Linked DNA regions of Canis lupus familiaris. The protein of the gene in region 2 interacts with the protein of the main gene of each other region in a biochemical or structural test. Links are inferred from orthologs where the notes say so. Each region holds a gene or a part of one and is shown on either strand. Other genes may lie near its edges. The genes, in order: MAGED1 and PJA1.

The links.
Region 1: the proteins of PJA1 (region 2) and MAGED1 form a complex in vitro, tested with the Homo sapiens proteins (2 studies listed by BioGRID, with this or other methods). The link is inferred for Canis lupus familiaris from reciprocal best matches to the Homo sapiens genes PJA1 and MAGED1.

Annotation. Positions count from the first base shown.
Region 1 is NC_049260.1:44,748,077-44,754,790, forward strand, and holds the start of MAGED1 (melanoma-associated antigen D1), read left to right. Parts: upstream 1-2,828; 5' UTR 2,829-2,873; intron 2,874-6,714. UniProt on the Homo sapiens protein: Involved in the apoptotic response after nerve growth factor (NGF) binding in neuronal cells. Inhibits cell cycle progression, and facilitates NGFR-mediated apoptosis. May act as a regulator of the function of DLX family members.
Region 2 is NC_049260.1:53,796,507-53,803,132, reverse strand, and holds the start of PJA1 (E3 ubiquitin-protein ligase Praja-1), read left to right. Parts: upstream 1-2,818; 5' UTR 2,819-2,969; intron 2,970-4,882; 5' UTR 4,883-5,109; coding exon 5,110-6,626. UniProt on the Homo sapiens protein: Has E2-dependent E3 ubiquitin-protein ligase activity. Ubiquitinates MAGED1 antigen leading to its subsequent degradation by proteasome. May be involved in protein sorting.

The DNA.
Region 1 (6,714 bases), about 9.0 Mb from region 2:
TAAGAACAAGGTACATGGTGGAAGCAGAAAAGAGGAACAGTTGTCTGGTTTTGATTAAGGAGTGGAAGGAAGAGTCAGCAAGGCTTAATGATAGAGATAAAATATGAGCTGATCTATGAAAGGTGATACTAGATAGCAGGGTGTGAAAGCATGTAGATTTGAGGTCTCAGTGCGCTTTCCAAATTGTAAGCACTTGTATGAGACTTTGACTTAGGGTGGGAAAAGGAAAAGCTGAGTAGTTAGAGAGGAGCCTGGAGAGAGAGAGAGACAAAGTTAGACTACCAAGGTTTTTGTATACCATGCTAAGGAGTTGGGATTTGGGGAGAAACATGGAGGGTTTGAACTAAGTGATCCTGATGACTGAGAGAAATGGATGAAATCTGTAACTATTCATATATCATCCTTTCAGTGAGTTTTTCCATAATAGCATTCGTCTCCTCTTCCCCTGTGTACATTGCTATCCTACTTACTTGCTTTGTTTCTTCATAATACTTGTCACCTTCTGGTATGTTTTTTCTTAAATATTTTATTATCCGACACAAAAATGTAGTTCCTGTGAGGGCAGAAATTTTTATCCATTTTGGTCATGGCTCTATCCTCAGAGCCTGGTGCATATTAACTGTTCGATAAATATTTGTTGCATGGATTTGTCAAAATTTTGAATGTGGAGGAAGTCGAGGAAAAATTATCAGATTTCGATGCCTCTGGATTTCTGATAATCCACTGGCTAACTTTTCCACCTCAATTCCCAAATACAATTAATTATTAATAGCATAAGCCCCTAATTTTCTGTATTTATTCTTTGATTACACCAATATCCTCTGAATCAACCTCTCTGCCTCCAGATTGCACCAGTACAACCCATTTTCTGTATTCTGGTTTTAAATATTACTAAATACTTTCTTGCTTAAAATTTTTCTTTGGCTTTCTGTTTTCCTCATAATTAAGCTCAAACTCCATGATCCTTCCTTCTCTGGCCTCTTCTAACATTCAGATTCATGACCCATTACTACTCCTTTCACAGTATACTTCAAGTCCACTGCCATTCTTCCCTTTCATTCGTCCATTCAATAATCTATTCAACATTAAACAAATCTTTATTGAGCACTCTCTAGTAGATAAGGTGTATTTTAGGTTTTTAGTATTCACCAATCAATGGGATAGTCATAGTTCCTACAAGGTCTCCTTTACCTATTATTTTGTCGCATTATAGCGTTGCTACTTGTTTATGTATTCATTTCCCCCACTGTTTGGAGGGTCTTGAAATCCAGGACTGAGTCTTATTCTTCTTTATATGGGCAATATCAGGAACGGAACCTTACGCTGAGTGGTTGTTCAGAATCTGCTGTTTGAATGACAAAATATGAGTTAAAATGTTGAAATGAACTATAAAAATACCATCAAAAGTAAGAACCTGGTGCTGGCCCCTGTCATTTCCCTGATCACATTTTGGTTATTTATTCATCTGACAAACATCAATAATCACCTATTTTATGCCAGGCTCTTATGTGTTTAAAATGTCACGTTTAGCTCCTAAGCTGTGGGTTCCTACTGCAATGCCCATGAGTGTAGCGCAGTATTTGGGACATGGTAGATGCTCACTGTATAGTAGTAGATTGACTGAAAATAACCACAAAAAAGGAAAACAGGTACAGATTTTGGACCCAGTGTTTTCTGGAGGTAGTGGCAATAGGTGATTCAATATTGAACTTTTAACCAGAGTAAGGATTATTCTTATTATTGAAAATTTTGGGAATCCCTGGGTGGCTCAGCGGTTTAGCACCTGCCTTCAGCCCAGGGCATGACCCTGGGGACCCCGGATCGAGTCCCACGTCGAGCTTCCTGCATGGAGCTTGCTTCTCCCTCTGCCTGTGTCTCTCATAATAAATAAATAAATAAATAAAATCTTAAAAAAAGAAAATTTTGTCAGTTGTCATTTTCTTGGGGGGGGTATATACATATACAAGAATGCTTTCTAGATGAATTTACCTTTATTTGTTAATTTGAGTATAGCATGTAACTCTTTGGATACTATTCCGAGACAAAAATGATTCAGATCTAAGATTTTTTAAAATCTCGAAATCGAAGTATGCCACTTATAAAAATGAACTTTTTACTCAACATGGTATGTTAGAAAATGGTAAACCAGTATGGCAAATACATAACTGTTGGCATCCAAGAGTCAAGGCACTAAGGGTTAGGAAGGTATTTTAAGGGCTAAATCAATAAGGCGAGGTGACAAATTTGGATATGTGGGGTTTGGCTGAAATAATGCAGTTCTTCGGATGACTAGAGTTAAAATTTCTTTTTTTTAAAGATTTTAGGGCAGCCCCGGTGGCTCGGCGGTTTAGCGCCGCCTTCAGCCCGGGGTGTGATCCTGGAGACCCGGGATCGAGTCCCACATGGGGCTCCCTGCGTGGAGCCTGCTTCTCCCTCTGCCTGTGTCTCTGCCTGCCTCTCTCTGTGTGTCTCTCATGAATAAATAAATAAAATCTTTAAAAAAATAAAGATTTTATTTATCCATAAGAGACACAGAAAGAGAGAGGCAGAGGGAGAGGGAGCCCGATATGGGACTCAATCCCGGGACTCCAGGATCACGCCCCGGGCCAAAGGCAGGCTCTAAACCGCTGAACTACCCAGGCGACCCTAGAGCTTTAATTAGTAAAAAGTTACTGTCTCTGAGCCGGTTCACATCACTAACCAGCTTCTGATACGCTGAAAGCCAGAGCAATAAAGTATTGTAAAAGCTTGCTAGAGAGGCACAGGAAGTTGCCTGTAAAGGGGGCGTGGCGTCGGAAAATAAGTTTCCGCCAAACGAAGGAAAATAGCGCTTCCGGTTACGCCATCGTTGTGTCGGGGCTTTCTTCACTGAGGTGAGTGGAAAGAAAGAGGCTCATAATTTTCACAAGTGAGTCTCCAAACCCTCCCGGGAAGCTTTCCTCCTTGCTTCAACATGGGGTGGAAAGATTTCATCCCCAGAGCACATTGTGTGAAGGATGTTTCTGACGCTTATGGTTCCGGTCGCCTGTCTACCTATTCTGAAGATGGCAGGCTGTCCTCCCTCTCTATTTTTGTCCTTTTATCCCTGGTCATTCTTCACCTCTCCTCGTTACCCCAGATCCTCTTCCTGATATTTCTGAGCCTGGGCCATTTCCTCTACCACAGATTTTTTTCCTACCTCTTAACTTCCACCTTCTTCCCCGGCCCCTTTTAGCCTCAAAACTTTTGCAACCCCCTTCTCCCGTTAGGAATCTACGCCCTTCCTTTTTCTTCAGCTCCAGTACTTTACTTTCCACCCCCCCCGCCCCTCCTGCCCGCCTCTTTCAGAGTCCTTTGAATTAAAAACTTGCCAAAACCAGGTGTGACTTCAGTTTCAAGGTCAACTCTTTTATTTCCTTAAAATAAGCAGTGGCAGAAATTTTAGTCCTAAGACACAGGAGCTTGTTCAGATTATTATATTATTGCTGAGTTTATTTTTACTCTTAACCAAAATGATACATCAGAAACTGCACTGATTTTAACCCTCCTGACATAAAAAAAAAAAAAAATTGGCACAGAACTCAATCCCCACTTTTTAGAGGAGCAGTCATAGGGGTTTTGCCTGTAAAACTTGTGTCAATTCTTGATGGTCGAAGCTTTCCCATCTCCTTTAGAACTTGTCATAGGACAGAAATGGTTGACGGATATGACATCCAATCACAAATTTATTTTTTCATATGAGTTATGCCTATTCAAATCTTTTTCTGGTCTTTGGTGGCAACATTGAACAGCAAGCTGACAGATTTTCAAAGTTTTCCTGGGAACTTCGCAAGTATTCTCTATTTCGTGCAAGGTGAAATATATTTTTCTGTTCCATTCATCATGTTTACTTTGTCTCGTGAGAACGTTAGTTAATCACAATTTATTATTCAATTTTTTACCCAAGAGAGGGGATATGATCATTAAACTTAAAATGAGTGTCAGGATTATTCAGGCTCTAAAGAGGAATTTATTCACCAAGAATTCCCTTGAACAAGCAATTTATTCCTTTCCTCCTGTAACTAGTGTGTTATACTTGCCAAAATAAGACGTAAATCTTTTTCTGGGCTAGGTGTAATTTTCAGTTCGTTTAGAAAAAAGTCAGGCTCGACTTCATGATACTAAAACACTTAAAAACTTTTTTGAAGGGTATTGCTGATGTCTCTGTATTCTCTAGTCAAGTTATAGTAACACAGCATTTAAATATCCCACGGCTTCAACCCAGTGTGCAACCATCATTTATTCATCTAAGAATTTTTTTATTGAATAACTTTATGTGTCAGACAGTGTTAAGCACTGAGGATACAACAGTGGAAAATAAAAAGCTTATTAAACTTTAGTTGAGAGACAGTAAATGAATATATAGTAAATATGAGTAAGTTGTAATGGAGAGGAGATGTAGTATTTTAAATAGGGATGGTGAGGAAGGCTTCCCTGGTAAGGCAACATTTGAGCAGAAACCTAAAGGAAGTGAGGGCACGAACTATGTACAGCTATTAATGGGAAAAACAGGATATATCTTATGTTGGTGTCTCTGTATTTGTTCACTCTGCTTCCACACCCCCCTTGCCCATTGTCACTTTTTTGCATGGCTTTAATGTAGCACTCTACATACTGAAATAACCTAATCCAGGCACATACATTTCCCATATTCTTTTGTTTTTTAATCTTGGCGAGCTTCTTGCTATCAATTAGGTATGTTGTTAGTTACCAGCCCTCTAGGAAGACATGTCTTTACATACATTTAGGTATGTTGTTAGTTACATACCTAATACGTCTAGAAGACGTATCTTTACATCCATCCTCACGTCTTCTTCAATCTTTTATCCGCAGTGCATTGTGTGCTATCCTACAGCATATTTGCTTACCTCTCTCACTGCTCTTATCACTGTGTGCTCATGATATGTTGCCCATAAATGTTTGGTATGTTAAATTGGAGGAATTGAGTACTTGTCTGTCTGTACAGGCAATCTTTTAAATATAGTTGGCCCTGGGATGCCTGGGTGACTAGGTAGTTGAGCATCTGCCTTTGGCTCAGGTCGTGATCCTTGGGTTTTGGGATTGAGTCCCGCATCAGGCTTCCTACAGGGAGCCTGCTTAACCTATGTGGTGGTATTGTTTGATCTTTCATTTGTATTCACAATTTATTTGTAATTGATTTCTTTGTATGTTTTCAGTATGAGTTATTGGTATGCGTAAAGGCCCCCCTTTTGTACATTTTTTGAAATGGACATTCAAGGGTGCCTGAGTGGCTCAGTCGGTTAAATGTCTGCCTTTGGCTCATTTCATGATCCCAGGGTCCTGGGATCAAGCCCTGTATTCGACTCTTTATTCAGCGGAGAGTCTACTTCTGCCTCTCCCTCTGTGCCCCCACTTCACCTCATGCTCCCACTCTTTAAAAAAGCAGATATTTAATCAACCTAATATCACTATTGAAAAGATAGCTATTTCCCTCCTATAGAGTCATGTTTTTCATAAATCAAATGACTAAGTTATTTATGTGGGTTTATTTCTTCTGAATTTTGTTCTGTTTGGTTAATTTTTCTATCCTTATATAAGTACCACTGTTATAATGGATGTCCTTTTATAATATATATCATATGTATATAGTCATTTAGTCTTACAGTTTTGTTCTTTTTTTTTCAATAATGCCTAGTGATTCTTGGTCTTTTGAATTTTCATATGCATTTTTAAAAAATATTTTATTTATTTACTCATGAGAGACAGAGAGAGGGAGAGGCAGAGACAGAGGCAGAGGGAGAAGCAGGCCCCGTGCAGGAAGCCGGATGTGGGACTTGATCCTGGGTCTCCTGGATCATGCCCTGAGCCAAATCAGACGCTCAACTGCTGAGCCACCCAGGCGTCCCTCATATGCATTTTAGACTCAGCTCATCAATTTCCACAAAAATTCTTCTTGACATTTTGATTGAAATACCACTTAATACATCCATTTGAGAAACATACATCATGGCACTTTACCCTTAAATATCTCAGTGTTTATCTCCTAATATTAGGGACATTTTATAGATAATTTAATTACCATTATGTCACCAATAAAAATTAAGAATAATTTCCTAATATCATCTAATACCTATACATTTTCTTTTTTTAATTAAAAGTTTTTTTAAAGATTTTATTTATGACAGAGAGACAGAGCATGAGTGGGGATAGAGGGAGAGGGAGAAGCAGACTCCTTGCTGAGCAGGGAGCCCAATGTGGGGTTCCATCCTAGGACCTGGGATCATGACCTGAGCCGAAGGCAGACGCTGAACCGACTGAACCACCCAGGTGCCCCACTTAATCCGTTTTCAAATTTCTTTCTTTTTCCCAATGTGCCTTTCATAGCTGATATTTCTGTTTTAAAAAAGACAAGTGGTGCTTACTAAGGTTCTATTTATCATCAGGCAATGTATAACATTTTATTTAATTAAAACAAAAAAAAGAATTATGATGTACAAATTCTTCCATTTAATAGGAAAGGAAAGGAATCAAATTGGTTAAGAAACTTGTTCAATTACAAAGCTTCAAAAGCTGGGACGCCTGGGTGGCTTAGTGGTTGAGTGTCTATTTTCGGCTCAGGGCATGTCCCGCATCGGGCTCCCTGCGAGGAACCTGCTTCTCCCTCTGCCTATGTCTCTGCCTCTCTCTGTGTGTCTCTCATGAATAAATAAATAAAATATTTTTTAAAAAGCCTCA
Region 2 (6,626 bases):
TGTGGACTAGACCACTGGACAATTCATTTAAAAAAATGGTATAAGCATTAGGATGCCACTCCCGAGATCTGCCTTGAAGAAATGTCAAAAGAAATTTTCCAGGACAAAAAAATGACATAGGACAGAAACTTAGATCTATGTTTTAAAAAGGCAGAGGATTTGAGAAGGAATAAATAAAAGTATAAAAGGACAAAATCTTGCATTTTTCTTAACTGATCTAACAAATAACAATTTGTTAAAAAAAAAACAATAGCAGCAATGTAATGGATGATAATGGCTTATGGACAAGTGAAATGGAGGACAGCAATGTTATAAAGGACATGAGGGAAGAATTGGGTGTACTCTGTTATAAGGTACCTGCACAACCCATGAAGTAAGGTTGTATCGTTTGAAAATGGGCTTGGATTAGTTGTAAATGTACATTGCAAACTCAAGGGCAACCACTGAAACAATGTAAGAATAAGAAATATAATTGAAATTATGGGAGGAAAAAGTGGAATCTTATAAAATGCCCAATTAAAATTAGAAAAGGCAGAAAAAAAGGGAGAAACAAGGAACAAAGGCAATGAATAGGAAACAGTTACAAATAGGGTAAATATTAATCCAACTTATCAAGAATCACTGTTTGACTACATCAGTTAAAAGAGCAGGGACTATCAGAATGGATTTTTTAAAAAGACCCCCCCAAAAGATGTTGTTTACAAGAGACTCATCTTAAATATAAAGACACAGAGAGATTAAAGGTAAATGGATAAAGGGAGATATACATGCCAACATTAATAAAAAGAAAGCTGGAGCAACTCTGTTAATTCCAAACAAAGCCAATGTCAGAGCAAGAAACATTATCAGGCATAAAGACAGGCATTACAGGGATCCCTGGGTGGCGCAGCGGTTTAGCGCCTGCCTTTGGCCCAGGGCGCGATCCTGGAGACCCGGAATCGAGTCCCACATCGGGCTCCTGGTGCATGGAGCCTGCTTCTCCCTCTGCCTGTGTCTCTGCCTCTCTCTCTCTCTGTGTGACTATCATAAATAAATAAAAATTAAAAAAAAAATACAGGCATTACATAATGATAAAAGGTATAGACTCGTATCTGAGCATCTGAAGAAAATAAAATCTGCTTAATCTGTATGACAGGTACATGCAAACATGCATTTTATACTCTTCTGTATATTGGAAATATTTTAAATTATTTGATAAAAATCGCATCCTTTCTTGAGTACAAAAAATATATACATTAGATTAGGTTTACTAATTGTGTTGTTCAATCTCTCTATATCCTTAGTTTGTAGTCTATTTGGTCCATTTATACCATAATAAGTGTGGTTAAGTCTCCCACTATAATTGAGAACTTTCTGATCTTTCTTGATATTTCTAACATATTTGCCTTATATATTTTGAAATCACATTGCTTGGCATAGAAAGTTTACTAACTGCATCCTCTCTATGAATGAAAGAACCTGTTTTGTTCTCTTTAATCCTTTTTATTTTGAGTTCTTGATTTTTCTGATATTAACCTTGGTACATGTCTCTTGTCTTCTTTCTTGCTTTTCTTTTTTTCTTTTAATTCCTCCCTCCTCACTCCTTCCTTTCCTTCCTTCTTCATTTCTTGTGGTATTTAACTGGCATATATTTTCCATTTCTATATCTGCTTTAAGTGAAACTCATATAAACAGCATATAATCAAATTTGAAGAAAAACAAAATACTTAAAATGAGAGTCTGCCTTTTATTTTTTAAAGATTTTATTTATTCATTCATGAGAGACAGAGAGAGAGAGAGGCAGAGACATAGGCAGAGGGAGAGGCAGACTCCTCACAGGGAGCCCGATGAGGGACCCGATCCCTGAACCGGGATCACGCCCTGAGCCAAAGGCAGACACTCAACTACTGAGCCACTCAGGATTTCTGAGAGTCTGCTTTTTTTTTTTTTAATTAGTGTTAATCCATACTATATACTGATATATTTGGATTTATTCCTGCCCTTTGGGTCTTAAAAAATAGCCTTTCTTGTTGCCTCCCACCTCACTTCTGCAGTTTGATAGATTGAATTTTTCTCTTTGTTCGACATATTATTTTTTTAGTGGTTTGTTACACATACATCCTATTCTTATTATATTTGTTACCCTAATGTTTCCTGTCCTTGTATTGTGCATTTTGTTTCCAAGAACAAAACTTTGCTATTGTCGTGAACATGGAGAGTCTTTACATTCCATAAATATTAAAGATGCATTGTAAAGTGCAATTAATAAAAGAGTTCAGAATTCTGTAAAATTATACAAATCCAAAAGGTATAGCTATAGTATTTTTAAACTGCAATGAGATTACCAGGTTGTGAGTCGGTATTACGCTTCATGACTGATCATTTCTTTTGGATAGAAAAGGTTGGTTTCGTTAACAGAGAAAAAAAATTAACAGCAACAAATTCTACTGTAAACAGTTCAATTGCTTCAATTACCAGGTCAAAAAAAAAAATGAACCTGCAACTCTAGATAAAATTTCACATTTTTTTATGCTTCTAGTACAAACCATGCCATATAACATAGGATATGATATATTATTGTAATTACTTGAACATCAGAATTAATCAGAAAGAATTTGTCGACTTCATCTTTAAAAAGGGGGAGAAAACCCCCAGAACAGAAGAGGGTATGGCTAAATGTTTAACATTTGCTAAAGCTGGCTGTTGGTTACATTTTTTGCTGTCCTTTTCTGTATCCTTGACGATTTCATCATTTAAAATGAAATCATGCTCTCGGGCCCAGCCTGATTGGTGGAGAGCAGCTGCCGCCCCGCCACATCGAGGGGGCGGGCCCGGCGACGCCACCGGCACTTCCTCCGCCGCAGTCGCCGCCTGCCCGGCTGCTGTCTGGCGGGGGAGGAGCTGGAGACCCGGAGCAGCCCCGGCGGCCCTGACGCTCGGCGGCCCGAGAGCTCCGCTCGCCCGGAGGAGCGCGCGGCTGTCAGCCCTGGGTGAGTGGAGGCTGTTTCCTCAGTTCATCCGGAAGGGGCGGCGGGGCAGGTGGCGGGGCTTGGGGACGAGGGTTCGGGTCCTCTAGCGAACAGATCTTCAGGCGCGCCCCTTGGGAAGGGGTGGGGTGGACGCAGGACCTGCCTGCAGAGTGAGGCCTGTATCCCCCGACCTGTTCGGGGGCGTCATCCTCCATCTCCCAGCCCCCTTCGCGTGGCGTGGCCCCTACTCGGATGGCTTCAATTGCTGTTTGAGAGGGGAGTGGGGGTCCGGGCCCTCCCCTACTTCTTCCCTCCTTGGTCCCTTTACAGAGCACTCCATGTCCTTTCTTCCCCCATTTTGCAGTTGTTTTTCCTGAATGGCAAATTGTTCAGATTTGTAGGTAAATATATTATCGTTCCCAGGAAAAAGAATTGTCTGAGAAACCAGTTATTACCAGGGAAAAACTAGACCCTTGCCTGCCTTTCCTTTCTTTTATTCCCCTTCCCTGGCCATCGGTTTGGAGTTGCCAGTGTGAGCAGTAACGTTTTGCCATCTCTCTTTATGACACTGTGACCCCCTCCCCCTCCCCATGTCTCGCATGTGTGGGCAGGGACATACACAGACACATGCATACATGGTGCGCGTGCACATGCACGCACACGTACGCAGGCATACATACAGACACACACACAGAAACCTCTCGTTGCAGCCCCCTCCCTGCACCCCCCTCATACTCAAGGTTTTGGCACATCCTCTTCCCCTTGAGGACGTGGACAGACACACATACACACACTCTTGCACAATGTCACACCCTCCTGTGCCTTTCCCTGCTTCTCACTGCCTGCCACATACTCACCTCCAGAAGCAGCCCCCTCCTTCTTCTGCCTCTGTGTGAGCACACACACACCACACACACCCCTTCTGGGGCTGCCCTAGCCCTTGCCTGCCACACACATGACGATAGCGTTTGATTGCTGGCTCCTCTTTCATGTGCCACATACATACATACATATATATGCACGCACACACTCTCATTCACACAGCCCTCACAGATGCTCCCAGCCCTGCTCCCCATCTGCTACATACGTGCATAGACAGCCCTCCTTTGCTGGTTCCTGCAGTGCAAACACTCACATAAATCCTTCTTTGGGGACACCATCACCCCCCAGCTAGCCACATTCGTGAATACACATATTTCCCTGATTGCTGGCTCCCTATTCCACCCACCAGCCACCCTCACATCCCTCTCCTGTGCTGTCCCTCTCGTGGATGCGTTCACTCACACTGACATTCTCCACTGTTGCCTCCCATTTTGCTGAATACTCACAGACCGTGGCCACCCTTGTCCAATGCTACCAAACCCTTTCTTGCCTGCCACAGACACGTAAACGGGCTCCCTCCACAGAGTTGCAGCCACTGCACATATACAGCCACACATGCACATTCTCTTTCTGTCATGCTTACACATACCCCTCTCCTCTGAAGCCACCCCCCACCCTGGCACCTGTCATTTCCCTACCCACATCCAGAATGGGTGTCCTTCTGTCTGACACTAACGCCTCTTCCCAGTACACCTGTCCCCTCCCCCTACAAACATGCATCTCTTCATTGCATGATGACTGCCCCCCCCCTTCCACCTGTCCCTCTCCTCCTGACAGACACGTTAGGCATTCATGAACACATGGTGATCTCTTTTTCACCCCATCCCAATTTGCATTTCTCCTGTCTGTCTGCAGGGCTCAGAAAAGATGCAGATACCCCATAAGATAACCACAACAATCTTTCCTCTTCCACATTGGCCTAATTTCACACTACTTCACCCACCTTCCTAGCATCCAGGCACCCCCATCTTCTGTCAGATTCTCCCCCAAGTCTGGCTCTCCAACCAACCCAGCTTTGTAATCATTTTGCCAACATTAAAAATGTGTTCCAGGTCTACACCTGACAGTCACTGGAATGCTACTTCAGGCCTTAGAAGAAAGTGAAACTAATTGTAAAGGCCCCTTATCCTTTCTGTTACTGCCTGCTGAAGTGAAAATAGATCTCCCTGCTCTTTTATTCTGAACTGATTTGACTTTCCCATCTCCCAAGCTTGTGCAGGGAGCAGGAGCCTTTCCGCTCAAGCCCCAGCTGTATTGGAAACCCTCCTAAGTCAGAGCCATGGGTCAGGAATCTAGCAAGCCCGTATGGCCCAAGCCAGCAGGAGGGTATCAGTCCAATACAGGCAGGAGGTATGGAAGAAGGCATGCTTATGTCAGTTTCAGGCCATCCTCGAGCCAGCAGGACAGGATTTCCAGCCAGAGAAAGACAACATCCGAAGTCCCAATGCACAGATCAGCCCCCAGTCAAACCACCAAGAGGAGCCGGTCACCATTTTCCATCACCCGTCGTAGTTGGGAGGACAGTGAGAGCTCTGGAGCCAGCCTGAATGTTGATAATGAGGACTACTCCAGGTACCCACCGAGAGAGTACAGGGCTTCAGGTAGCAGAAGAGGATTGGCTTATGGACATGTTGACTCTTTTGGGGCAGATGATAGTGAGGAGGAGGGGGCTGGGCCTGTTGAGCGAGCACCAGTTAGAGGGAAAACTGGCAAGTTTAAAGATGATAAGCCCTACGACCCAGAGAAAGGGGCCAGGTCTTTGGCTGGGGTGGCTCCACAGTTCTCTAGCTTTAAGCGTGATGTGAGAGAGGAGCTTGACAAGTTAGACCCGGCCCCTGCAGCAAGATGCTCTGTTAGCAGAGCTGAGTTCCTGCAGCAAAATAGCATGGCCTCTCAGACATCTGCTGAAGGCAAGGTGGCTACCCGTGGTGACAGCCGGGAGAGTCAGAGACGGGAGCAGAATTTCCCTGCACATCCCAGCAGGGCTCCTGTGAGTATTTGTGGTGGTGGGGAAAACACCCCCAAGAGTGCAGAGGAGCCGGTGGTGAGGCCTAAAATCAGAAATCTGGCGAGCCCCAACTGCGTGAAACCAAAAATATTTTTTGATACTGATGATGATGATGATATGCCACATAGTACTTCCAGGTGGAGGGATACAGCCAACGCTGAAGGCCACTCGGATGGCCTAGCAAGAAGAGCCAGAGGTGAGAGTTCAGGTGGCTACTCTGAGCTGAAGTACCCCGAAGACAAGAGGGAAGCCAGGAATGACCAAGTGAAGCCAGAAAAGGTACCAAGACGGCGGCGAACCATGGCTGACCCTGACTTCTGGACGTACAGCGACGATTACTACAAATACTGTGATGAAGACTCTGACAGTGACAAAGAGTGGACTGCTGCTCTGCGGCGGAAGTATCGAGGTCGAGAGCAGAATCTGTCGTCCAGTGGTGAAAGCTGGGAGACTCTGCCAGGGAAAGAGGAGCACGACTCTGAGCAGGTCAGAGTGAATGCTGGCGCCGGCGCCAGTGCCAGCCCGGGTACCGGCGCCAGCGCCGGCAGCAACAGCAGCAGTGAACTGGAAGACCTCCGAGGACCACCTCTTCAGGAAGAGGAACACGCATCCCCCAGAGAACGAGAAGCTCCTTGGCTCCAGTACAACGAAAATGAGAGTAGCAGTGAGGGGGATAATGAATCTGCTCAGGAGTATCTACAGCCTGGGGTGTTCATGCTCGATGGAAACAACAATCTTGAAGATGACTCCAGCGTGAGTGAAGACCTAGAAGTGGATTGGAGCCTCTT